Linked DNA regions of Caenorhabditis elegans. The protein of the gene in region 1 interacts with the protein of each later gene in a pairwise test. Each region holds a gene or a part of one and is shown on either strand. Other genes may lie near its edges.

The links.
Region 2: the proteins of nfi-1 (region 1) and taf-9 interact in a two-hybrid assay, tested with the Caenorhabditis elegans proteins (one large-scale study listed by BioGRID).
Region 3: the proteins of nfi-1 (region 1) and gex-3 interact in a two-hybrid assay, tested with the Caenorhabditis elegans proteins (one large-scale study listed by BioGRID).
Region 4: the proteins of nfi-1 (region 1) and ing-3 interact in a two-hybrid assay, tested with the Caenorhabditis elegans proteins (one large-scale study listed by BioGRID).

Annotation. Positions count from the first base shown.
Region 1 is NC_003280.10:7,536,390-7,543,065, forward strand, and holds nfi-1 (Nuclear factor I family protein), read left to right. Parts: upstream 1-1,890; coding exon 1,891-1,908; intron 1,909-2,310; coding exon 2,311-2,574; intron 2,575-2,629; coding exon 2,630-2,710; intron 2,711-2,765; coding exon 2,766-2,864; intron 2,865-2,919; coding exon 2,920-3,051; intron 3,052-3,107; coding exon 3,108-3,462; intron 3,463-3,627; exon of another isoform or gene 3,628-3,648; intron 3,649-3,877; coding exon 3,878-4,136; intron 4,137-4,185; coding exon 4,186-4,481; intron 4,482-4,523; coding exon 4,524-4,661; intron 4,662-4,925; coding exon 4,926-5,058; intron 5,059-5,105; coding exon 5,106-5,392; intron 5,393-5,441; coding exon 5,442-5,589; intron 5,590-5,769; coding exon 5,770-5,869; intron 5,870-5,987; coding exon 5,988-6,149; downstream 6,150-6,676. Other genes in the region: ZK1290.13 (MARVEL domain-containing protein), read left to right, coding at 1-31, 283-537. UniProt on the Caenorhabditis elegans protein: Probable transcription factor which recognizes and binds the palindromic sequence 5'-TTGGCANNNTGCCAA-3' present in promoters. Plays a role in locomotion, pharyngeal pumping, egg-laying, and life span.
Region 2 is NC_003281.10:13,622,363-13,626,519, reverse strand, and holds taf-9 (Transcription initiation factor TFIID subunit 9), read right to left. Parts: upstream 2,245-4,157; 5' UTR 2,237-2,244; coding exon 2,093-2,236; intron 2,038-2,092; coding exon 1,754-2,037; intron 740-1,753; coding exon 616-739; 3' UTR 513-615; downstream 1-512. Other genes in the region: T12D8.5 (uncharacterized protein), read left to right, coding at 1-56, 104-152, 195-488; mlc-5 (Myosin-2 essential light chain), read right to left, coding at 2,556-2,662, 2,778-2,884, 2,935-3,071, 3,120-3,197.
Region 3 is NC_003282.8:12,402,675-12,409,217, reverse strand, and holds gex-3 (Membrane-associated protein gex-3), read right to left. Parts: upstream 4,788-6,543; 5' UTR 4,784-4,787; coding exon 4,672-4,783; intron 4,622-4,671; coding exon 4,521-4,621; intron 4,475-4,520; coding exon 4,325-4,474; intron 4,255-4,324; coding exon 3,883-4,254; intron 3,834-3,882; coding exon 3,785-3,833; intron 3,729-3,784; coding exon 3,515-3,728; intron 3,463-3,514; coding exon 3,153-3,462; intron 3,103-3,152; coding exon 2,361-3,102; intron 2,303-2,360; coding exon 2,078-2,302; intron 2,027-2,077; coding exon 1,205-2,026; intron 1,156-1,204; coding exon 1,043-1,155; intron 994-1,042; coding exon 778-993; 3' UTR 528-777; downstream 1-527. Other genes in the region: dsb-1 (Double-Strand Break factor), read right to left, coding at 42-160, 206-283. UniProt on the Caenorhabditis elegans protein: Rac effector required for tissue morphogenesis, cell migrations and egg laying. May play a role in egg laying and in yolk protein clatherin-mediated endocytosis by oocytes during oogenesis.
Region 4 is NC_003280.10:13,874,197-13,882,058, forward strand, and holds the start of ing-3 (Inhibitor of growth protein), read left to right. Parts: upstream 1-1,837; 5' UTR 1,838-1,865; coding exon 1,866-1,893; intron 1,894-1,959; coding exon 1,960-2,031; intron 2,032-2,084; coding exon 2,085-2,188; intron 2,189-3,573; coding exon 3,574-4,098; intron 4,099-5,230; coding exon 5,231-5,845; intron 5,846-7,862. Other genes in the region: ndub-8 (NADH dehydrogenase [ubiquinone] 1 beta subcomplex subunit 8, mitochondrial), read left to right, coding at 821-1,022.

The DNA.
Region 1 (6,676 bases):
GCAGCATGAATCCATTGAGCAATCTGTTCAGGTGGTGTCAATAAGGCAATTAAACAATTTGAGCTGAGTTATTCAGAAAATAGTGTAGAAAACAGAATAATACTATTTGTCAATAAATGTTAAGTTTTTGGAGAATCTTACATCAGAAAACATTTTTGTAATCAATTTTATCTGTTTGTTGAATAACTTTTTTTTGCATTAAAAAAAAATCACAAATTTTAATGAGCAGATCCAATTCAAAAAATTGTGACGTATGGCTTGTAGTTATAGAATTTCGTTTAGGATGAGACATTCGATGGGACTGAAAGTGAAATTTCAAATATTGGTGGCACCTCACCAGCATACCCTGTAGCCTATAGAAATAGGCCACCAAAACCAAAGAGAATGGCAATTCTAGAAGAAGCACAAGTTGAAGAGTATACACCGGAACCTTCTCCTGCTCCAAGAAGAACAGTTAAGAATCCAGTTCATCAATCAGATGCAAGTCTTGCATCCAAGTTTAATTCATTGTCAAGATTTGAAGAATCTGCTTTTTGATTCTAGTTATTTTTATGTTATTAGACATGGTGTCAGAATGTCCCATGTGAAGATCTACGAGAACGGCAGGAATTTAGGCGCAGCCTTTTCAACTAATTTCTCATAGTTAAGAACGTGCTGACGTCACATTTTTTAGGAAAAATCCCGCATTTTCTGTAGATCAAAGCGTAACGGGGGATCCTGACACCACGTGTTATTATTAAACTCTAATACTTGTTTGATTTGAACTGTTGAACTGACGACTTGAGCATTGTATTTAGCATGCTATAGAACTGATGTCACATGATTTTTGTTTTTTATGGAACGAGGGAGCAAACAAATGAATAAAATAAATTTCGAGGTTATCTTTTTCTGTATGTTGCAAAATGTTTTTTTACAAAACGAAATTTCTGTTTTTTCACATGTTCGCAAGAAACTTTCAGCTATTTCGAACGTTAAACTGATGTGCGATTTTTATCGATTTTTAATAGTTTTTCTCACGATTTGCTAAAAATTTTATAACAATGAAACAACATTTCTTTAAGCACAAGCCTTGAGAAAAACTATGAAAAACCGATAAATATTCCGCAACAACGGAGGTTTGAGACTACAGTACTCTTTTTTAAAGACGCGCACCATTTTGCAATAGTTAACAATATCGTTGCGAGACCTGCCGTTTTATTTAATCGATACTTTCTTCTTTGTTTTTTTGTTTATGAGTTTTCTCTTTTTCTGAACAGATCGCTTGAGATTTTTCGTTAAATTTTTTATTTGTTGATAATTAATAAATAAATTTCAAAAATTCGATAATCTTCATTTTAATTTTTAAGAATTAATTGTCATCTGTCAGTTAATCAAGATTTCGCGCGGAAAATTCCGTTTGAAATATGGCCGCTGGACTAGTATTTGTACGACCCTCTGCGCATTTTTGCTCTATAGTTAATTTACCGTAGTTTGATTCGCAGCGCATCCCAGACCACCTGTATTTTTAATATTGGCTATGAAAGAGCAAAATATGAGCAGATGAATGTGCAGAAAAATTTATAAAGTTTCCAAAAATATATTTGAATCAGAAGAAGTGTTTCTATAAGCTCAATAAAATTGATTAAACGAGAATTCATTTAATTCAAATTGTTGCCAGTGTTTATTATTATTTCGACAGAAAACTAATCTCGAAAAATATTTTACTTCTTCAATCATTTATTTTCTCATGATATTTTGCGCTCGGTGCCGCTTTTTTCTTCTTTAACGCTTGTCAATTTGTGATATCGATTTTTAAGTGTTTCAGAATGCAGATTATCTGAGCACAAGCCAGGACACCGATCGCAGCAGCATTGCGATTTTTTTCCAGCTCTGGGAGATTTTTTGAATAAAATGGAGCCGCATCTCAAGGTAATTTATTTGTTGTAAAACATTTTGCAGCAGGTTCGCTGCAAATAATTACCTCGCACACACATGCCGGTCTTCATATCGATTAATTTGACGAGTATTCGCTCGACGGGCGGTGTGATTCTATTCATTCAAAATCTTTTCGCTTGTTTCCTTATCTGCGCCTCTTTAAATTTGTGGAGTATTTTTGCTGTTGCTATGAACCAACTATCATCAAAAGGCTATCTCTTCCTATATGCAGTATTATATATGAAAATATAAACTCTTTTTGTAGATACTTTTGATTTTAAATTATACGAATGGAATCTCAGGTAAAAAAGAAAACTTGATTATTAATTTGAAATTTCAAAAAAAAAACTCGTATAAGTATATCAAACAAAGAAATAAACTCAAAATACTTTTCAGATCGATGTCAGCTCCGCCAGCGGTTCGACGACCACTGGTGCAACAGCTTCAACATCAGAAGCACCTCAAGACTCACAGGCACAGCAGACAATGCCTCCACCATCTTCTGATTGGAGTAATCAATTCAATTCTCCAGAAGCCGTGAGTCCGAAAGCCAATGGTATCAAATGCTTCAGTCCTTACTCACAGGAAGATATGGGACCATTTGTCGAACAACTTCTACCTTTTGTCAGAGCAAGTGCCTATAATTGGTTTCATCTGCAGGTAGGAATTATTGAATATAATTTTTAATTTTTCAATTTCATTCCCCTGTTTTCAGGCAGCAAAACGACGGCACTTCAAAGAATTTGATAAGAAGATGTGTGCGAGTGAAGAAAACGCGAAATTAGCAGAATTACAAGTAAAATACGAATAAATATGAACAAAAATCATAAAGAAAATTGTTTGCATTTCAGAATGATAGAGATGAATTAAAAGTGAAATGGGCTTCCAGACTTTTGGGAAAAATAAAAAAAGATATTCAAAATGACGATAAAGAAGCGTTTATTTCGGCTGTAAGTATTTCAATATTTATAATTGATTTAATATAAGGCGAAACCAATTTTTTAGATCAATGGAAGTGAGCCGAACAAGTGTATTATATCAGTTGCTGATCAGAAAGGGAAAATGCGGCGAATTGATTGCTTACGCCAAGCTGACAAAGTTTGGAGGCTTGATCTGGTTACTATTATTTTATTTAAAGTGAGTTTTTAAAAATCCTATTGCCTAATACTTCAAATAAATTTAATATTTTTCAGGGAATTCCTCTCGAGAGCACCGACGGCGAGCGTCTCGAACGATCCGAGGCATGTGTCCACCCTCTGTGCATAAATCCTTTTCATATGGCGATTAGTGTTCGCGGTCTTGACGTTTTTATGGCAAACTATCTGAAAGACGTTGACACTAAAATTACATTGACCTATCCGAGAAATGATGAACTTTCTGATACAGTGATGGTAAAGCAAGAGCCCGGTGAACAGACAATTGTAGCTCCTCATGCAGTTCTTGGCACAAGTTCTACTCATACTCGTGTCTGGGAAACGAATTCCGAACGAAATGCGGAAACAATCATTATCACTTATGATCCACAGAAAGCTTGCCATACTTATTTTGGTAAGATTAAATTATTCTAAAACTCTCTATAAGCAATGAATAAATTGAAAGCTATTGAGAATTCACCATGACATTCTGTCAGCGAAAAAATCCAATTTTATTCAAAATAAAAATATATCCATTTTGCGACGCAGATAAATCGTTTTGATTAATTTATAAATATGTTAAATTGTCAAGGGCTTTAAAATTTTGTGAAACTGTTCAAACGCGATTTTTGTGCCAAAATTTCAAACTCTCGTTGCTTAGAAATTCCCTCTCCCTCTATTTTTCATAGATTTATATTCAATTTCAATCGAAATTCCCCAGAAACAAGAGTTTGAAATTACAGTACTCCTTGAGCACACCTTTTTGCATATTATTGGCTCGAAATTGCAAATTTCCAATAAGAATTCCAAACTTTAAAATAAATTTTCAGGTGGTCGTGCTACTCTTGCCCAACAGTCTCTTTCTGCGGGAAACACGTATATGGTTAACAAAACCGCAGTCGACAACAACTTTTTCAATGCAAAAAGATCTGTTCTATGTCTACCACCTCCTCCGATTCAAAATTGTTTTCCTTATCCCATCGCGGGAACATCTGATTCTCAACAAATGGATATGTCGGAGGATTCCAACGATGGACCTTCAGAGAAACGAAGTCGGGATATATCATCGCATGATTCTCCTAATTCCAGGTAGAACTTGAAAAAATAATTAATATAAATATTTACACAGTTATTTCAGCACTAACGACGAAGTTCGGCGGATAGTGGAAAGTGGAACGGAAAAATTGGTACTCGGAAGCTCCATATGGGCAGCACCAGGCCAATTCTCTCGTACACAACAAAATCAAGGAGCTCCCGGAACGAGTCGGCAAGTGAGACCGCTTCCCGATTTTCAAAGTCAAGATTCTGCGAGGAGTCCGGGTGCATTCCGTTCAACAGCAAAACCCGTTTGTCGAATGACAGTGAATACTGGAAATCATGGCGATGTTGGAGTCGTTGTTGTTGATGAAAGAAATCGGGAGCATGTGATTCATGGTAAGCACGATAATTTTAATGAATAAAATCATATTAATTCAGCTCAACATATAGTGAATGCATTGAGCTCACTTCGAACGACACCATCGATGCGAGAAAGTCCAGTTGGCAGAAAAAGAATGCATCCGCATACGAGCAATTCATTTGAATTTTTGAATTGCAATCAGGAAATGAATAAAAGTTAGTTGTTTTTGTATACGTGACCCTCATTCTCGCGAAAATTACTAATATTTTTCAAACACGAAACTTTTTTATATTAAAAAGCTAAAAAAATATGGTACCCGGTCTATGGAAAATCTACGAAACAAACGTTCGAAATTACAGTACACTTTAAAGGCGCAAACATTTGTGTATTCCATAAATATTTGTCGTGATGAGACCTGGTATCGTAGTTTTGGAAGAATATATGTTTAGTAAAAGTTGAATTTATTTTTTTTGTTTCAGATGAAGGAGCTTTAGGAAGCGATATTTCACCGACTCACACTGCTGTTTCTAATCTAATCAGCAGAGAAAGTAGTGGATACATGGCAAGCCCAACAAAATTCACAACAGCACGCGGAGATACAACAAGCTTCAGGTTTGGCATCGTATCCCGATCATCGTTAAACAATTTTTTCTTTTCAGCAAAATTTTCCAAAAGATCGAAGAGAAACATCTGCAACATAATCAACCGAGCACGAGCTACTGTAATTCACAAATCCAACCACCAATCTTATCATCGAAACCAGTTGATTCATCAGTGAAATTAATTGCTCCAGTTGCAGTGAAACCAATTATGTCAGGATGTAATTCAATCATTCCATCACCCATCACAACTCCTCGTATAACTCCTTCATTTCGAATGCTTGAAGATGATTCATTGATTAATGTACTTGGACAACTTGCACACAGTAATGACGGAACAACTTTAAGTATGATTTTATGAACATTGAACTATCATCCCATTGCTTTTTTTTACAGACGATAGCTTCATTCAACATCTTATTGATACCAATTCTCGATCTCCATTGCTTAGTAGTGGAAATGCTTTTTCGGCATTATCAATGGGAGCTGTGAGTGGATTAGTTCCTGGTAATTCGATTCATCGTCCGGATAGTTCTGCAAGCAAGTAAGTTGAACCATATTGTTTTTTTTCTGAAAATAATGTATCAAAATAAAATGTAATTTTAAAAAAATCTTTCCAGAAATATATACTTTTTTTTAAATTGGCCAAAAGCTTGAAAATTTTATTAATTTCAAATTTCAATCTAAAATCAATGTCTTGTCTAACCAAAAAAAGTTTCTTCAGCGGATCGAATTCGTTGGGTGTAGCAATGGGATTGGCCGTTCCTCAAAATATTGCACTGGCCGTCCAGCAAACTCAAAATGCAATGTCACCTCTTCATCAAGTAAGTTGATATTTTATAAACATTTATAATCAGCAGCTTTTATAATTATTCTGAAAAACACCTTACGAAAATAATTAATCGAAAGATGTAAGCTTTTAATTGTGTAATTCATCGCCAGATTCGTGTTAGCGTTGGAGCTCCACCAGCATGCTCCCCGTCATCATCAAATTCATCTCTAGGAGCTGCAAATCAAGCACCGGTCTCAAATACTCCACAAGATCCGAATGCTCCAAAGCTGCCAACTGACTTTTCACATGCTCTTCGTAATGAGAAAAAATGATTTTGATATTCCTGTTAATCTTTTTATTCGTTTTATTTATCCCTTTCGTGTTACCAATTGAAAAATTAGAGTTATCAAACCTAGTCCTTCTTTAGTATTATTCAAACTAGTTGTTATTTTTATTATTTTCATTTTTCTTCAATCTTCAAAACATTTTCTCCGTCTGTGACGTCATAATCTATTTTTCCGAACCTCTTTTGAAAACCAAAATCCACAAAAAAATCAATTGTTTACGGGGCCACACATTTTCCCTTTTCTTTTCTTCACCGTCACCTCTTTATCTTGTAAATCTGAAAAACTTTGAAAAAACGTCGTAGCTATGCACAATTGTAATCACCACTTCCAGTTTCCCAGTGTTTTCCTTTTATGTTTTTTTTGCGTATTTGAACCTCATGTTTGCATTTCTTGTGTGGGTAGTTCAGATTATTTAATTTTTAAAACGTATTTTAATGAATCTTGAATTTTTATCAAGTCGTGAAGCACAACATAGATTCAAAAGAAATTGGAATATCATATCATCAATAAAG
Region 2 (4,157 bases), on another chromosome or scaffold:
CTTCTCGCAGTTTTTCTGCTAGCCGTATGTAGCCTCGGAGAGTCGAAAAAACCAAAGTGAGCCAGTTTATTGGTTGATTTTTCCATCTTTATCGATTTTTCAGGGCACAGAAGGTTATCTACGTGCAGAAGGTGGTGCCGCCCCAGAAGCAGGTAGGATTTGAATTTTTAGCCAAAAACTTGGATATATTGAAGCTCTCCGAATACGACCTCTGCAAGGAGCAATGCCGAATCGAAAGCGAGACGCAATCCAACAAAGAACGCGTCGAGCTTTTGAAACAGGAGATCGACCGAGCTGAGCAGTTGCTCGCCGAGCACAATAAACACGTGGATGCTCCGGAAATCGCACCCGAAACGTACATGGAAGCTGGTCAGGTTCCGCCAATGCGTAAGGCTAGCCGTTACGATCATTTGAAAATGGCAGCCAACAAAATTGTCGAGTCGACGAGTGAGCTGAAAAATGCGGTGACAGGTGGAGGGGATAATTGAATTGTTTTTGAATTGTAATTGTGTAAATTTTTGAATTTTATAAATAAAAATCTGGGTTTCATAGAGATCATTGGCAGGATTGATTAGATAAAGTAGAAAATGGCATAAAAAAAACAAAATTAAAAAGTTATGAGTCAAAATCATCGTCTGGAGCTCTTCGCTTGAGCATATTCTGTACATGCTCCGGCCGTAGCACTTGTGTTGGTGGTTCGATGATATGTGGCTGATGGGTGACTTGTTGCATTTCCATTCTGAAAACTTGAAAATTTTGAATTTGATATGTATAATTTCATTTTACTACAGAAAAAAAAAACGCATGCCATAAAGATTTAAAAACAATAACTAAATGGAATATTGTCGGAAAATATGTGACTTTTAGTTTTGTGTCAAGGTTTTGTATTTTTGATTCGAAAAAACAATTTTTGAGATGAAAATGCAAATTTGAATCAATATTTTTCAAATGAAACTGACAGTAGCCACAAAAAGCATTGAAAATCGACAAGTTTAAATATAGAATTTCTGTAAATTTTTAGAATGAAAATTTCGGAAAAAATTTATATTTCGGCTCAAAAAGCGGTGAAAACTTAGTTTTTAACAAATGTTTTTGGAAGTTATCGATTAAAAAAAACTTATTCCATGTCTTATGCATTCATATTTAATTATTTTGGGGGCACGAAAATGCGAAAGTGTTTTCGATTTCTCGAAAGGTGGCTCCAAACAACACCTTTTTTTACTTGAAACAAAAAATCTTCTATAAATTTGGTACTTTTCCTTTTCTACCCCGCATTTTTCTGGAACATTTTCTTGGATAAAAATGTGAACTTTTTCTGTAATTTTGTTTTCTAATGGGGTTATTCAAGTAGTGTCGGAAAATTAAAAAGTGTAGATTAATTACGTCACAACTGTATTCAAGTATATAAAAACATGTATTTAAATACATTTGTGACGTCACAAATGTATTTAAATACATTTTGCTACATTACTTGAATAACCCCATAAGCCTGAAAATGATTCACGTGAGAATTAAATTTGAATAATTCAATGTTTTGAATATTCATTTAAAAATGCGGTGTAAAAAAGGAAAAGTATCATAATTTTTTTAAAAGTTCTATTGTGAGTTTTTATTGTTATTTTGTCATTTTTGAACCATAGGAATGGTTTTTAATAGTTTCCCCACTGGTCGTACTCCACTTTAAAATACCTTCTTTCCGTTTAAAATCAAATTTTTACAGATTTTTCAAGATATATCGAGAAAAAAAACGTACGGCTGATAACTGTCGTCAGCTTTGTACACAAAATTCTGCTGTAATTGACAGAATCGATCGTTGGGCAGCTTCAGGCCATAATTGTGTCGAATTTGCGGTAGGGGCTGCTGATTTTTGTCATTCGCCAATTGCAGAATCTTCTCACGGTCCGGAGCGTTTGTGGTCAGAACGCCGAGCATGTCGGCCGCCGTTTGAACGTCTTCTGCCTCGATTTGCGCTTTTTCAGCATGCCTGGACAGTCCACTTGACATTTGGAGGATTTTTGACGTCACTGCGTATTGAACCTGGAAAAAATCATTATTTTTTGAATTTTTAGAGCTCAATTTTGTATTTTCTCACATCCATAAGCATTGAAACGACGCGTGGATCAAACTCTTGAATTCCACACTCGTGGAGCATGCTTATTACAGCAAGCGCCTCTTTACTGTGTCCATCGGTACCACTTGCCGTCGTTTCTGTGTCTTTTTCTCCTGTATCTGCCATTTTTCTTTCTGAAAATGCAATTATATGGATTTCCCCACAAAAATAACGGAGAGGAAATACAGAAATATCATGTGAGATGTAACACGAAATACAAAAATTATGAAATTAGAATTAAAATTTAGAAAAATTCATCTTAAAACACGGAGGATACAAAGTTGTTCACTGAATCGTTGCAAGTTTTTTTTGGTGAACTGGGAGAGAGCGAATAAGAAATAGAATTAACGGATGCAAAAAAGTCGATAAATAAATAGATTGTGTGGAAAATGCCGAGGAAATTAATGGAAATGATATATTTACATCAGCTGAATTCGATTATTTTTTAGGAGTTCATGACAGCGCGTACGAAATCCGAGATATTGACGTTTCCGTGAGAATCGTTGTGTCCGGAGAGCAATTGATCGACGTCTTCATCGGATAGGCGTTCTCCTTGAAAAAAAATTGATAAAATTGGGGTAAACTTTAAAATTGTATAGACCAGCAGAACATTTTTGAAAAGCTACTTATATATTAATTTTTTGATAATATTCACTCAAAATCCTACCAAGAGTGGTGAGCAAGTGTCGGAGCTCTGCGACATTGATCATTCCGTTTCCCTCCTTGTCGAAATGCGACAACCCCTCGACGAACTCCTCAACGGTGTGCTTTTCACTGAAATTATGTAGAAATTGAAATTTATTAACTGAAAATTCGCCACGAACCGATTCTTGGACACCGACTGGAAAATTGGGACAAAGTCCTCGAATGAAAGCCGAGCTTCCCGATCGAACGAGCCGACACATTTGTGAATTTCGGCTTCTGTTGGGTTCTGGCCGAGCGCGCGGAGCACATCACCGACCTGAAATATGAATTTTGGATTAAAAAAGTAAAATATTGAATTAAAAACCTGCTGAACAGAGATTCGCTCGTCGCCTTTGCTGTCAAAATAGGCGAAAACCTCACGACAATCAGCCAAATCGTCCATTTCTCACAGCTGAAATTGGAAAATTGAGAAGACGGGATGAAAACGAAAATCGATTATCAGTGAGTGAGAAGTTGGCGATAAAAGAGAGAATGAGTCACGGGGACGAAACAATTCGGGAGGAAAATGGGTGGGCGGTAGAAGATTTTCGAAGAGAGCTGAAAACATTTCATGCCTTCCAGAAATTCTCAAGCAAAAATTCAGCCTTTCTCGGCTATTTCCCGAGAAAAACGAGTTTCACAACACATTATTCACCGCACATGAACTGAAATGGCGATCGATTGGCGAGTTTATTTGAATAGTAGACACACACAGCAGAAGAGACGACCAAAACGGGCAGTTTCCCCGCGCGGCGGTGTCCTGACTGTCCGTTCAACCGCGTGAGAGTGTGTGGAGATGGTGGAGACGCGAGGAAGAACAACATCCCGAATTCTTGTTGTTCGGAACTTTTTCTCACCGATTCATCGACAAGATACCAATAGTTTGGAGGTTATCCGGCGGGAAAAAGAGGGTTAACAGAGGGCAATTAGAATTAAAATTCGAATTTTCGAGTTGCGGCATGAGCATAGAGCACAGAGAAGCAAAGAGCGCCCAAGTTGCCACGGAAACCATGCACATTACGTGCTGAATACAATTCCTGCGAAATTTTACAGAAAAATCTATTTTTCTGCAGAATTTCAAGGATAATTATCGATAAGCCAAAAAATTGATATAAAACAAAAAATTTTCGGGCGCCAATTTCAAATGCCATGGCGCAATGCACAACGGGCGCTAGATCCCACGCGCAAATGCACAGAATATGCCTGTTTTGAAATTTATTTTTCTCGAGAATTTCTAGAATTTTCGATAATTCAAAGGAGTTTTTTGGTTTAAAAGGCGTTATTCTAATTTTTTGATCTAAATTATCAGGTATTTATCTATTTTTCACTTTAAATCCCCTCTTTGCGTAGTCGGAACACCTCT
Region 3 (6,543 bases), on another chromosome or scaffold:
CGGGCAATTTGACTTTAATTTCTCAAACAACAAAGACTCACTTCAAACTCGGATACCTAGAAACTTCCATGTTACAATAAACGGTCTCGATCGGCTCGACTCCATGAATAACCGTCAGCTTCCTGCTATTCACCTCCATAACAACGCGAATATCTTTGCCCTGCAAATTTAACTTTTCGATACAGAATTCATCTATTTTTAAAACCTCTTGTCGATTACCGCTTCCTCTCAATTGCTTATACTTTATGATCGGCCACTGGAGTGTCTGCAATTCAGGAAACATACTGAAGAGACTGCAAAAACATAAATAATTTTTTTTTACTAAAAATGTCTAAAAATTTCGACCTCATTGGACCTCAAAATGTGAAAAAATTCAAAATTGCATGCCGGTCGTGGCGAGACCCATCCATCACTTTTACGCGCGAATTCAAATTCAAATTACCAAGCATATCTAATTTAGCTAATTCTCGTTTTTTTAACTTAAAATTTAATCGCATTTATGTAATAGATAAAATAAAAATTTTTGATAAATTGATAAAAAGTTTATTATGACGACAAACTGCAATAAATTAAAGCCAAATGGAAGGCAAAATGAGTACTTGGGAGCAATGATTCACACGAAAATGCAGGGAATAATAGTCAAAAAGGCGGTATTCGGAAGCGGGAACCCGTATAGTAATGGTTCGTTGAAGAAAGAAAAATAAAATAAATAAAATACAGGCACAGGAAGTATGTGAGAAGGGATCGTAGCTGTACATATTGGGATCGCAGATAAAATTATTGAGCATCAGCCTCGTAGCATTGTTGGTAGGCTGTACGGACGAGATTATATGGGAAACAGGTTTCAAGAACATCCATCGACAGCCAACGGTTTTTCCGAACCATCTGTTCAAGGATAATGTAGAGAGTTGTGTGGGAACGAAGAACGTCGTCGGATATTTGTCGACTGTTATCACGTTCATGAATAGTTCGTAGAATACCCGAGGACGCGAGCTGAAAATTTTTCTAGGTGAGAATATGTGTTAATAATGATAGAGCTAACCGCCAAGAACTCCTTCATCCTCGACTGGATATCATTTTGCTCGTGGAGATGGAAAAGAGCTGATCCGATAGTGTTAATCGCCATTGGAACACAGTGACTATTGTTCAAGCTGGCTGAAATTGTTTATTTTTAATTTTTGCAAAAAGCTGTAAAAGTATGTACCTTGAATGCTAGGCTTGTAAGACGAAAGATCCGACATTCCAATTCGTGGAATACAGATAGCGACGGCAACCATCAATAGACAACTATTAACATAGTGTTCTTGAGGGTGAATATTCGGATTTTGAGCACGAACCGCATTCACCAACGACATATCAACTGGTCCTGTGACTCCCATCGCAGCTGACATTTCTCCAATTTTAACTTTATCAACATCGTCCAAATTGTGATAAAGCATATCAAATGATGCTTGAAGAAATGGCAATTTAGATTCGACGATATGACGAAGAGCATCGTGGAGAGCATCACGAAACAGACAAATCTGTCCGATAATAATAGTTCTTTGCAGAATTGCATCAGCTGCGCATGTTGCGTTCGGAGTTTTCTTGTCCTTTGGTTCGACGCTCAAAAGATTTAAAACATCCTTCATCTTTTCAGCATTATCGAAATTAGATCTAGCAATCTGTAGAGCATCTTTGTATGTTGCAACAATCTTGCTCATCTCCATAATTTGACTGGCCACGTGCCAAATCAGCCGTTCAGTCATCAACTTTACTCCATAAGGTCCGATAATTTGAACCAATGCTCTCAATTCTTGAGGATCTGAATAATGATCGGGCATGAACGAGAGTTGTTCCTGTCCTGATGATAACATTGTTCGTAGATGCTCACTCCAAACCATATGACCAGATGAAGCACGACGGAGCAAAACTTCGAGATACCATTTCGTGTAGAGTGCTGCGATTGTGTCTTTATTCTTGGAATCAACGAGTTGAGTTTGTTGTAGAAGAGTTGTTTGCATTGTATTACTGATATCCACAGAAACTGAAATTCCATTTATGAGAATATTTATAGATTATTTTAAAAACCACTTACTTGCTGTATCAAGATTTTGAAGAACCGTCATGTAGGCTTGTAGCGCAAGGAGCATTTCACTTGGTCTTTTTGGATTACTTGCATGTGGTTGACCTTCCCAGAACATTCCATGAAGCAATTCTACAAATTTAGTTTCAAGGGACTGCGCTAGGTACGTCCTCGGTGCAAATGTGTGATCAGCAACGTAAATTTGACGATGAGCTCCGAGAGCTGCAGAGATTTCAACTGAAAAGTGGGAAATTTGTGATATAAAATCTAATTTAAAAAACGTTTTAAAACTTACGAAGAGTTGTTTGCAACTTATCAGGCATTGTTAATGCTTGACGATCAACTCGATAACTTTCTTCTCCAGCAATGAAATAATCTCGAGCGGCTGCTGCGGCCGCCGCTGCAGCTTTTCCAGATCCTTTCTGTTGAACAACTTGAGCAACAACTCTTACAGCCACGGCGCTCGGTGTCATTTGATAAGCTAATCCGAATTCATGTTCAGCCACTTTTTCCAGGATATATGACAATTGTTTGCACGTCTCTTCAATTACAGAATTGCATTGAGCCAAGGCTTTTTCAGTGATAAATGCTTTTTCTTCAGGACACATGTCATGGAGGGCGCTTGTGAAATGCGCGGCAAGACGTGCAAAACTGAGCACATATCGAGCTTGAGCAGGTAGCTGGAGACAGTTGAGCCAATGTTTTTCAGCGAGTTTTGGATAGAAGCAGTATAATGATAAATCACTTGTTTCCCTTAGCATCTCGTCTTGCAAATCGATCATTTTCAGATGAAAAACTGAAGTATTCATGTATATTGCGAGTTTTTTATGTCTTGAAAGTTGGAAATGGCTCCGAGCAGCAGATGTCCAAGCTTGAAATCTAAACCAGTCTAGTCGAAGAGCACGAAGATCCGTATCAGAGTTGATATTTCCTATTTCGTTGGCAAAATCGGTCAAAAGAACCGCTTCTTCCTGGGTGAGGCCATTTGCTTGGTTAATCTCTTCAGAAACAACAATTGAATCATAGCTAGACACGTACTGAAAATAAAAAAGATTTAAAATAGATAAATTTAAAGTTTTAACAAAACCTGTAGATAGTATCTTTGAATCACTGCATAATATTTCGTAACGAGATCTCTTAATTCCAGCATATAAAATAGCAGTTCTGGAAGTTGCCTGTCAACAAGCTCCTCGACCATTCTGCTGCCTTTTTTGCTGATAGCAGGAACTTCAACTTGATGCCGTAGAAGCCATATGACCTCATCTCTTCCTGCTCCAAGAGCCATCCAGACATAGAGAATTTTCGGGCCAAGTAGTCCGGGCTGATCTCGTAGTAAAAGTGACAGCTCTCGAAGAGAACTTCTAAGGAAGCGGCGACGGTCTGCGTGGACGGCAACTCTGAAATACAAATTATTAGAAAACGCTTTGTTTATCATATTTTTTAACTTACGCAGTAACAGATGCATGATTGAACGCATCTTTAACATCTTGTAACCGTTTGCTTTTTTCTTTGGAAGATTCTAAAAACGCTTGAATCTCTTGATGAACAATAAATGTTTCGTCTCGGAAAACGCGAAGACACAGATTCATTTGAAGTGCCAGCTGCCACATGTGCCTAATGTTGTCATCGTTAAGAAGAGTTGAATGGCATACTGTTCCGCAGACTGAAAATATTACAATTTTAATAAACATTTTAATACTAATTTGTATATTAACTTACACACAATCCATCGATCAATGACGTCGAGTGATAGATATTCGCATGCAATCTGAAACGATTTACATAAATAATTTTCCATTAAATAAAAACTTGCTCACAGTTTCTGTTTGAGCAGCATATAAAATTTGTGCTGGAGCAGCGGTCAACGAGAAAACATTTGATGTTCTCCATGAATCTGCTGTCTTGTTTCTGCGCTGATATGTGTGTGTAACAGAAGAAAGAGCTGAATAAATTAGCCTGTTCAGTGGTCCGAGATCTTCATGAAGCTTTTTTAACGGATTTTCATAATCAAGAATCATTTGTCCTAATCTTGGAAATGATGCTTCACTTTGTCCGTGTTGTAGATCATATGCCGCATTAAAAAGTCCAAGAACAGCTTTCCGGTCTTCAATTCTTGATAAAAGAATCATCATTGTGACGAGATGTACAACAAGATTCAAATAACTCGTTGTCAGGTCGTAATTGAGCGTCTAAAAAATAAAATTTTAGCTTAAACATTATACGAACGATATAAATATTTAAAATCAATAATATACTCACCACATCCAGCTGACATTGACATGATTCCATAGTTGTCAAAACTTGCATAATGTGATCTTTTAAATCAAGAATATCAGCAAATGTGTAGTAATATAGCGATAAAGATTTTGTAATTTCCGTGGACTTTTCTTGTACATATTCGAACGTCGACTGAAATTAATTTCGGCATGAGAAATCAACAATTTGAACTACTCACTGAATTCGATCTGCAATCAACAACAGGAAACTTTCTAACTATATGTTTGATTGCACCTTCCATCTTCTTGTCGCTAAGAAATTGTGGTTTCACTTTTGAATCTGAAATCTTCAGCATTTTATAACAACAGAAATTTTCAAAGACTACTCACCGCCGCTTGATTTCTTAATATTGTATATCCGTGTCATCATTCCAGCAGCACGATCATTCAGTATCACAAGTTTTTCAGCAATTTTCACCTGTCTGGCATCTTTGTAAGCCATTTTGCTGAAAATTGGAGAGAAAATTGAAGGGGAAATGAGTCACAAATTGGATTACAGTTTAAAGGCGCATTCAATTAAACAAGAGGTGTCTCTCACCACGGCTGTGCAAGCATGCTCTATTGCGCTCTTTTGTTGGCGGCAGTTTGAACGAGAGAGGGAGACCGTTATAAAAAATGTAGACCACGAAAAATCTAGACCACGAAAATATTTAAAAAAGCTATTTTCAGACAGATTTTCAGGTTTTTACAAAAGAAGTTTATTTAATGGGGAATAAACTTCTTGTTTTATTGCAATTTGTCACCGCAGAATATGATCTAGATCACCGTGAATGGCACTGACGAGGTTCAAGAACTGGAAAAACGAACAAAAAAAAATATTTGGAATGTTTGGAAAAAAAAAACATAAAATCAAACTGAAGAACTATTCACCAAATATGTTGCTTTTATGAACTTTCAAGCTTTTTGTGAACTTTTGTGTCGACTTTTCTTAAAAATCATATTTTTCCAAATTATTTCCCCACTTTATGTATAGTGATTGTTTAGTGAGAAGAACAAAAATTCCTTGTAAATCCCTAAATACAGACAGACAGTTTCACATCCAATTACGAAATATTTCATTTGATATTTCCAAATATTTCCAATTTATATCTCTTCGTCCCTCCGTGGCAGCTTAGTTCATCAAACCTTTCCACCGTCGATTCGAATCGGCTTTCTTATCAGGTCAAATGCTATAGATAGCTGGTCTCTCTCCCTCTCTCTCTCTCTATCTCTCTCTCTCTGATAGTCCGAAGAAATTCTCACATCGTTTACAATAGCGAACAACACCGAAATGGCTGTAGATGGAGGAGAAGAAGAAGAAGCATGAGACCAGCAAGGATCGGGAAACTGTGAAAGAGAGAAACGGGTTTGACGAAAGGCCGGACGGATGGTTAGCCTCTCTTTCTCTCCCTCTTTCCCGGGAGGCCTTCCTTTCATTCAAATGTTTCCATCGCTTTTCGTTGAATACTTCCACTCACTTTTGTTACTTCTACACATTTTTCTTCATTTCATATCTTTTTATGAAACTTTTTGGATTCAAAGTTTTCACTTGTTCGTTTCATTTAACTTGCAAAAAAAACAACTATCTTCATCTTAAATCTGTCAGAAAAGGTGCGAAGTCATCGCATTCATACAGCTTCTCCATCTTCTACAGCTCGCCTCATTCAATCTATTCACTGTGTCAAACGTGTTTCTAGTTTCCATATGTCTATACAACTTTTATCTCTTCCGTTCTCTGTAATACAATTATTTTCTGTTCTTTTGAATCGTTTTACACACATTGCGTAATACCGATCGAACAGTTTCTATCGGGTCCTGGCACGCGCGGAATTTTTCAACTACCGTACCTCTTTGATTGTTTCGTTAGTTGAAATGTTTCGATCGTGACAAGACTCAAGTTGGTGATTTTAAATTAAAATTCAAAGTTTTTGATTTAAGTATTTAATAGCATAAACTTTGACAATGCTGCACTGATTTTCCAAATTAGGCTCCGCCCATATCTTGGCTCTTTTGAAATTTTACATTGCATTTTCTCGTACTTTACTTCTACATAGTCTACGAACACAGAATAGATACCTAAAATAAACTCAAAAATTCCATACTTTTTGAAACTGTGCATGGCAAGCTTTTGACCTAAAAGCTTATATCTCATAGTCAGACATTTCAGATGCTATCCAGGATTCGTCAACTAATAAGATATTCATCTTAAAAGTTTCCAATTTT
Region 4 (7,862 bases), 6.3 Mb from region 1:
ATTTTGAATTGATTTTTTGCACAGATTTTGGGTAATTTCGCTGAAAAATGTGTATTTTATGGGTTTTTGGGCAGTTTTTTCCATAATTTTTCACTATTTTTAGGTAAAAATTCGGAATTTCTGATTTTCAGCCAGTTTTTTTTTCATTATTTTCTCCGATTTTCTAATAAAAAAGCGAATTTTTCGCTGAAAAATGCGAATTTTAGTCCAATTTTCTGATAAAAATCCGAAAATTCGCAGATTTTTCGGGTAATTTCGCCCTAAAACTTAAGTTTTTCATAATTTTCCCCGATTTTCTGATAAAACTCCGAATTTTTTCCCTTAAAAAAGTGGATTTTCGTATTTTTAGGCAGTTTTTTTCATAATTTTTTGAAAAAAAGAGGAATTTCTCGTATTTTGGCTAAAAAAATGACGAATTTTTTTTGATTTTCCTGAAATTTCATTGATTTTTTTTGAATTTCTCGTCGGATTTTCCACAGGTTTTTTAAATTTTTTAAAGGATTTTTCAGTTGATTTTCTGAGATTTTTTCACTAAATTGAGAATTTTCGTTCGATTTCCTGGAAATTTTTTTGACATTTTTCAAATTATTTACTGATTTTCTTGCCTCTTATTACGGGTTTTCACCGATTTTTAGCGAAAAAATCTACCGATTTTATCGATTTCGTATCTCTCGGATTTTCTTGAATTTTTGCAGCGATTTTTAGTATTTTCGGTGAAAAAAATGTGGATTTTCTAAATTTTGCGATTTTTTTTTAATTTTCGGATTTTTAGGCTGTTTTTTTTTGTTTTTTTTTTCTAATTAATTTATCCAATTTTCAGCTGGAACTCGATCGTTATGTGCCTCCGCGTGCTCGTACCGATGGCTCTCCTCGCCTGGTACTTTACCAACGAACATCCGAACGCGCTCCGTTGGAAGAATCCGGCAATGCCGAAGCAGTATTCATACGATTTCTACCGTGCCTACCCGTTCGACGATCCACGCAAATACCCAATTGTCAACTATTCGTTTGATTTGGAATAGAAAATTCCTTAGTTTCGGTTGTTTTTTTTTTGGTAGTTTTCTCCGTTTTCTCCTTTTTTGTACTATAAAATATTCGAATTTTATCATTTTTTTTTTTGCCTTTTTTTTGCCCTTTTTTCAGCGTTTTTAACGCTTTTATACCTATTAATTCGTTTTTTTTGTTGCTTAAAATTGCGCCTAATTGAAAAAAAAATTCCTAAATTTTATATGATTTTTTGAAAATTGAAAAAGTCTCAGTTTTCACCCCTAATTCCTATTTGAATTACCGCTAATTGGATTTGTTCGATGGAGCGCGCTTGCACGTTTTTAAGTTTATTTATTTTATTTTTTGTTATTTTCCACCGATTTTCAATTTTTTTTAGTTTTCGGTGTATTTTTACATGAATTTTAGAGAAAAAGTCAAAATAAATGCTAAATTTCGATTAAAAAGCACGCTTACAGGCGTAAAAATGACAAAATTAATTAATTTCACTGATTTCGGTCTGTACGCATGGTTTTTATTCGAAAATTTGCATTTATTTCGACTTTTTCTCTAAAATTCAAGCAAAAATACACCGAAAACATTAAAAATCGGTGGAAAATAACAAAAAATAAATAAATTTAGAAACGTGCAAGCGCGGCGCTCCAACGAACGAGTTCAATTGGCGGAAATTCAAATAGGAATTAGGGGTAAAAACTGAGATTTTTTCAATTTTCAAAAAATCATATAAAATTTAGAAATTTTTTTTTGAATTTGGCGTGTTTTAAAGCAATTTTCCCACTGGCGCTACGCTACTCCACTTTTAATTAATTAATTATTTGGAAAAAAAATTCAGAACTCGGCGCTGGACGCCCCCGCACAAAATGCTCTTCCTCGATGATTTTTTAGAAAGTAAGTGGTTTTTTTTGTTGCAAACTTTTCCCCTATAAAAACACCCAAATTTTCAACGTTTTCCAGTGCTCGATGAGCTGCCTGCCGAGCTGAAGGAGAGAAGCGATGAAATTCGGCGAATCGACAATGAAGTTGAATGTAAAATTTCGAAATTTTTCTGAATTTTTCCCTTCATTTTTTCGAATTTTTAGCCCGTCTAAACCGTAATCGAGAGGCGATCAACGATTTTTTCGAGAGAACCGGCGTAAATATGCCCGAGGAGCAGAGAAAGGAGCGCTGCAAGGTTTTGCAGGAGGTGAATTTCATGAAAATTCCTGGAACTCGAATTTGGCAGCAAATTGACACGAAAACGCAGGAAAAAGTTGATTTTTGCCACAAAAACGGCTAAAATTCGTGAAAAATGAGAAATTTCGCTATAAAACCCGTTTTTCTAGCTTTTTCGTGAAGAAAAATGAGAAAAAATGGGATTTTTTTGTACTTTGCCTGATGTCATTTTTTCACTTTTTAAGCTTTTTTTTCCCACAAAACACCAAAAGTGCTCAAAAATACTCAAAGTGAATGACGTCTAAAAACACTAAAATGAGGTCGAAAAACTCAAAAAGTTGCTCAAGATCCGACCAAGTTGTAACCTTTTCGGAAAAAAACCTAAAATTAGAATTTTGTCGTTTTTGATCGTTTTTTGAAGCTTTTTCTTCACAAAAATAGCTTAAAAACGCAAAAATTAGCCCAAAACGCTTATAAATCTCAAAATGCATCCAATTTTTCAAAATTTTCCGCTAAAAATAAAGGAAATACCGAAATTTTCAAAAAATGAGCATTTTTCCGCGAAAAAATCCCAAAATTCCGCTAATTTTTCAGAATTTCTCGGAAAAAAACGGTCGAAAAAATTCCTTTTTTCACTGAAAATCTTTTTTAAAAAACAGGACAAAAAATCGCAAAATTCAGACAATTTTTCGGAATTTCTTGTTAAAAAGTGAAAAAAAAGCTGAAAATTTAGCTTTTTTCACGAAAAAAAATTGAAAATTCAACTAATTTTTGGGAAAAAACATTTACATTTGCATTTTCTAATTTTTTTTTCGTGGTTTTCTAAAAAAAACTTTCAAAATCTCAAAATACAACCAATTTTGCCGAAATTCTTGGAAAAAAACCCTAAATTTGCATTTTCTATTAATTTTAAAAGCTTTCTCCCCCAAAACTACCTTATAATCCCAAAAAATCAGCCAATTTTTCTAATTTCTCTTTAAAAAAAAAGCTGAAAAATTAGCTTTTAAAAAAAAAAAAAGCTTAAAAATCCCAAAATGCCAATTTTCCAGATTTTCTCGCGTTGAAAGTGAAGGAAATGCCGAAATTATAAAAAAAAATTAGCTGTTTTCACAACAAAAAAAAAGTCGAAACCCCCGAAAAATCATAAAATCAACCAATTTTTCAGAATTTCTCTTTAAAAAGTAAAAAAAAGCTCAAAAATTTGCTTTTTTTTTTCAATAAAAATTTTAGAATTCAACCATTTTTTCAAAATTTCTCGTTAAAACGTTGAATAAGCTCAAAAAAAAGTTTTTATCACAAAAATAGCTGAAAAATGGCAAAATTTCTCTTAAAAAATGAAAAAAAAAGTTCAAAAATTTGCTTTTTCACAAAAAAAAAATTGAAAAAACCCAAAAAATTGCAACCAATTTTCTTCAGGAATTCTCCACAATCCGCGTGCTAGCTCAACGCAAATATCTAATCGCCGAAAAAATGCAAGAACTCCTCAAAAAGTACAAAGTTCACTTGGAAAAGGAGAAAACCACGTTCCAGTGTGAAATGGAGGCCGACAATTCAGGAGTGACCGAAATGATCGAAAAACGATATACCCAACACGTCGAATCTCTGCTCACAGCGAGAAAAGAACGAAAACGTCGTCATCGCGTGGGCGGTGGTGGTGGTGGTGGAGGATCGTCGTCGAGAGCATCGACAGTCGCTTCGGGACCACTTTTATCGAAAGAATCAAAGGACAAAATTCAGCGGATCCTTCAGGAAGGTGTTCGTCTTCGAATGGATCTTTCCGATGAGTCGGCACAATCGGCACTATCATCGGCTATACCATCACCAGCGCCACGTGGGCGCCCGCCAAAGATCGCAAAGGATCAGCTGTTGCTGTCGTCGGCGGCGATGGTGGTGGCCAGTGATGATTGTCTGACGCCAGTGCCACCAACACCGACGGCTAGGGTGAGGAGCTAGCTGAAAATTCGAGAAAATTCGCAAAATTTGGAGCCCACCTACCACGGCCTCCTGTTCAAAGAACTGGCGAAATTTCGAATTTTAGCTAAATTTTGAATTTTCAAATAATATTTTTCAAACATTTTTGAATTTCAGCCTAAAATCCGCAAAATTTGATCGTACAAAAACCTCACAAAATTGATAAAATTTTCCCGTTTTTTGGGTGTTGTTACAAGAAAAATTTGACGAAATTTCGAGTTTTAGCGTAATTCGTCTCTTTTCAACTATTTTTTTAGCCTAACCGCCACATTTTTTAATAAAATTTACGAAAATTGGCCGTTTTTGGGTCATTTTGGACCGTTTTCAGCTAAAAATTAACTTTTTGTTTCGAATTTTCAAAATTAAACGAAATTTGGCTCTTTACTGACTAATTTTTAAGCCAAACCGCCATGATTTTCTGGAAAATCAGCCTATTTACAGGAGGACTAACGGTTTATTGACCCAAATTTTGTGCTCAAATGAACGAATTTCGTAATGAAACTGCTCGAAAATGTATTTATGGCGGTTCAAAATTTCGAAAATGACACTGATTTTAGCTAAAATCTCGAATTTTGGTCATTTTTCCGTGTCACAGCTGTAGGAAGTTGGTTTTTTTTGGAATTATCATCCTTCATTGCATATTTTGGTAGTTTATCTCATTTAATTTCATTGATTATGGTAAATTTAAAGCCAATAGGTAACCAAAAATCATTAAAATTGGTCGCCTATAGGCTTTAAACAGACCTTAATAAACGAAATTAAATGAGATATTAAAACCAATATATGCAATCAAGAATGATATTTCCAAAAAAAGCCAACTTCGGACAGCCGAGACACGGAAAAATGACCAAAATTCGAGATTTTAACTCAAATCAGTGTAAGTTTTCGAAATTTTGAAGCGCCATAAAACATTTTTGAAGAATTTTTGAGCAATTTCAGTATGAAATTCGTTCATTTGAGCACAAAATTTGGGTCTATACGTTCCAAATCGTCCGAACCGTTAAATAGGCTGATTTTTCAGCCTAACCGCCATTATTTTCACGAAAATCAGTCGTTTTTGGAGTGAAAAAACTAAAAATTCTCTAATTTCTCCAAATTTCAGCGCCGCTCAAACACAAATGCTCTCCGCGGCACAGTCTCCATTCCAAGTGCTCTTTCATCAATGATGAATCGTGGTGAATCGACATCCCGCTTCTCACCGAATCCCTCCGAACGTAGTTGGTCAAACGCCGGAATCGACGAATCATCACCGACGCCGACGACAAGCCTACTGATGACACCGACGTTCTCCTCAGGACCGCATATCGTCGTTTCGCCGACGACTCCAGTTCTCCAGAATTCGGCGTTTGTGGTGTCTGAGAGCCGTCATGGTAGAACTCGGAAGCTGACCAGTAGAGTTCAGGAGATGTTTAAGGAGACTCTACAGCGGCAGCGGAATCATGGAAATTCAATTATAGCACTACAGGAGAGAATGAGTGCGGCGAATCTGGCGGCGGCGGCTCAGCACGCTCACGCTCCGACGAGCTCTTCACCACAATCACCACTTCCGGAGATTGAAGGAGCCGCCGAGGATGATGATGAGGAAGGACCGAGTTATCGGATTAAGCGGAGCCATCCGATGATGGCTCCGGGATCGGAGGATGAGGAGGATGAGATGCATTGGTGTTTTTGTAATGAGAAGAGCTATGGAGATATGGTTCAGTGTGATAATCGTCATGTTAGTGTGGGCTTTTTTAATGAAGGGAAAAATTGAATTTTTCTCCGAAAATTGAGCGAAAAATTCAAATTCCCAGCAGAAATAGTGCGAAAAAAAAATTAGATTTTTTTTTGTTGTTTTTTATTACCAAAAATTGATTAAAAAATGTGAATTTTCATCAGAAATAATGCAGAAAATTACTGTTTTTTTTTCTTCGAATAGTGCGAAAAATTGAGTTTCCATCCATTCAAAAAATCAAAAAATTTGGATTTTCACACGAGAAAACAGTGCGAAAAATATATAATTTCTACCTGAAAATTGCAAAATCATGTTGCTATATTTGCGGTGAAAATTCACTTTTTTGGTTAGTCAAAGATTATCAAAGATCTTATTAAAAAAAAAAAAAAAAATTTCCATTCAAAAAATCGAAAATTGAGCGAAAAATTCAAATTTCCAGCACAAAATCAATAATTCGTAATTTTTGATGAAAATTCATATTTTTTCATGGAAAATTGTACAAAAAATTCAAATTTCCACCAAAAATTGAGTTTAAAAAGTGAAATCAGAAATAATGCACCGAAAATTAAATTTTTGTTTCAAAAATAGTACGAAAAAAGTTAATTTTTAACCGAAAATTATTTTTTTTTTAATTTGAATTTCTACCACAACAAAATGCTTAAAAATTGTTAAATAGAGTGTTTCCTTGGAAAAAATCACAAAAATGAAGTTTTCACCAAAAAATTGCGAAAAATATATAATAATTTCTACCAGAAAATGCAAAATTTTGCTTTTTTTTACATTTTTATCGAAAAATTTCACGAACATTCAGAAAAATTGAATTTTCACCAAAAAATTGGAAAAAGTTGCAATTTATATTATTTTTAGGCTAAAATCAACAAAATTTCTGCGTTTTCAACGGTTTTACCAAAAAATGTGTTACAAAAATTCGAAATAGTTGAGCGAAAAAATTAATTTCCACCTAAAAATTGCAAAACTTTGCTATATTTTTGGTGAAAATTCGATTTTTTGTTGGTATTATTATCAAAAAATTTTACAAAAAAAATAGAATTTTCATTTTAAAAAAATCCCGAAAAATTAAAATTTCATCAGAAAAATATTTTTAAAAATTGATTTTCCACAAAAACATGCTCTTGAATTACAAAAGCAACTGAAATAATACGAAAAATTTAGATTTCGAAAATTAAATTGAATTTCCACTGTAAGTATTTCAAAAATTAGAAAAATTAAATGGAAACAAACACAAAAAAACATAAAACACGAAAACATGATTTTTAAAAAATTGTTTAAAATAATTACAATGTGGAAATTTCATTTTTCGCACTGTTTTCGGTGAAAACTCAGTTTTTTTCCACAAATATTACAAATTACATCCATCCATCTGAAATTTACACCAAAAACCTTTAAAACAAAATACAGAAAGTCTGAAAATTTCAACAAAAAATTCTAATATCTAAATTTAAAAAACATTTCTACCAAAAATCTGATAAACTGAATTTTCATCGAGACCATCACCACCAAAAAACTAATTTTTGACCAAATTGAGTGCGAAAAATCGAATTTCCATCAAAAATATTATAAAACATTTTGTTTTCTTCGAAAAGTAATGCAAAAAAGTAAATTTCCGCCACACAAATATATTTAAAAAAAGTTGAATTTTCATCAAAAACTACAAAAAATAGAATTTGCCTGGAAAATTCTAATTTTTTCGAAGAAAACAAAATGTTTTATAATATTCTTGATGGAAATTCGATTTTTCGCACTCAATTTGGTCAAAAATTAGTTTTTTGGTGATGGTCTCGATGAAAATTCAGTTTATAAGATTTTTGGTTGAAATGTAAATTTTTTATAGCACTTTTGTAGCTATATGTTTTTTAAATTTAGATTAGAATTTTTTGTTGAAATTTTGGAAAAAATTATGGGAAAATGGTAGATTTGTTTGTTTGTTTTTTTTTGTTGGAAAATAAAAAAAGTAATAAAAACCACAAAAATATCAGTAAGTTTCAACCTAGATTAAAAA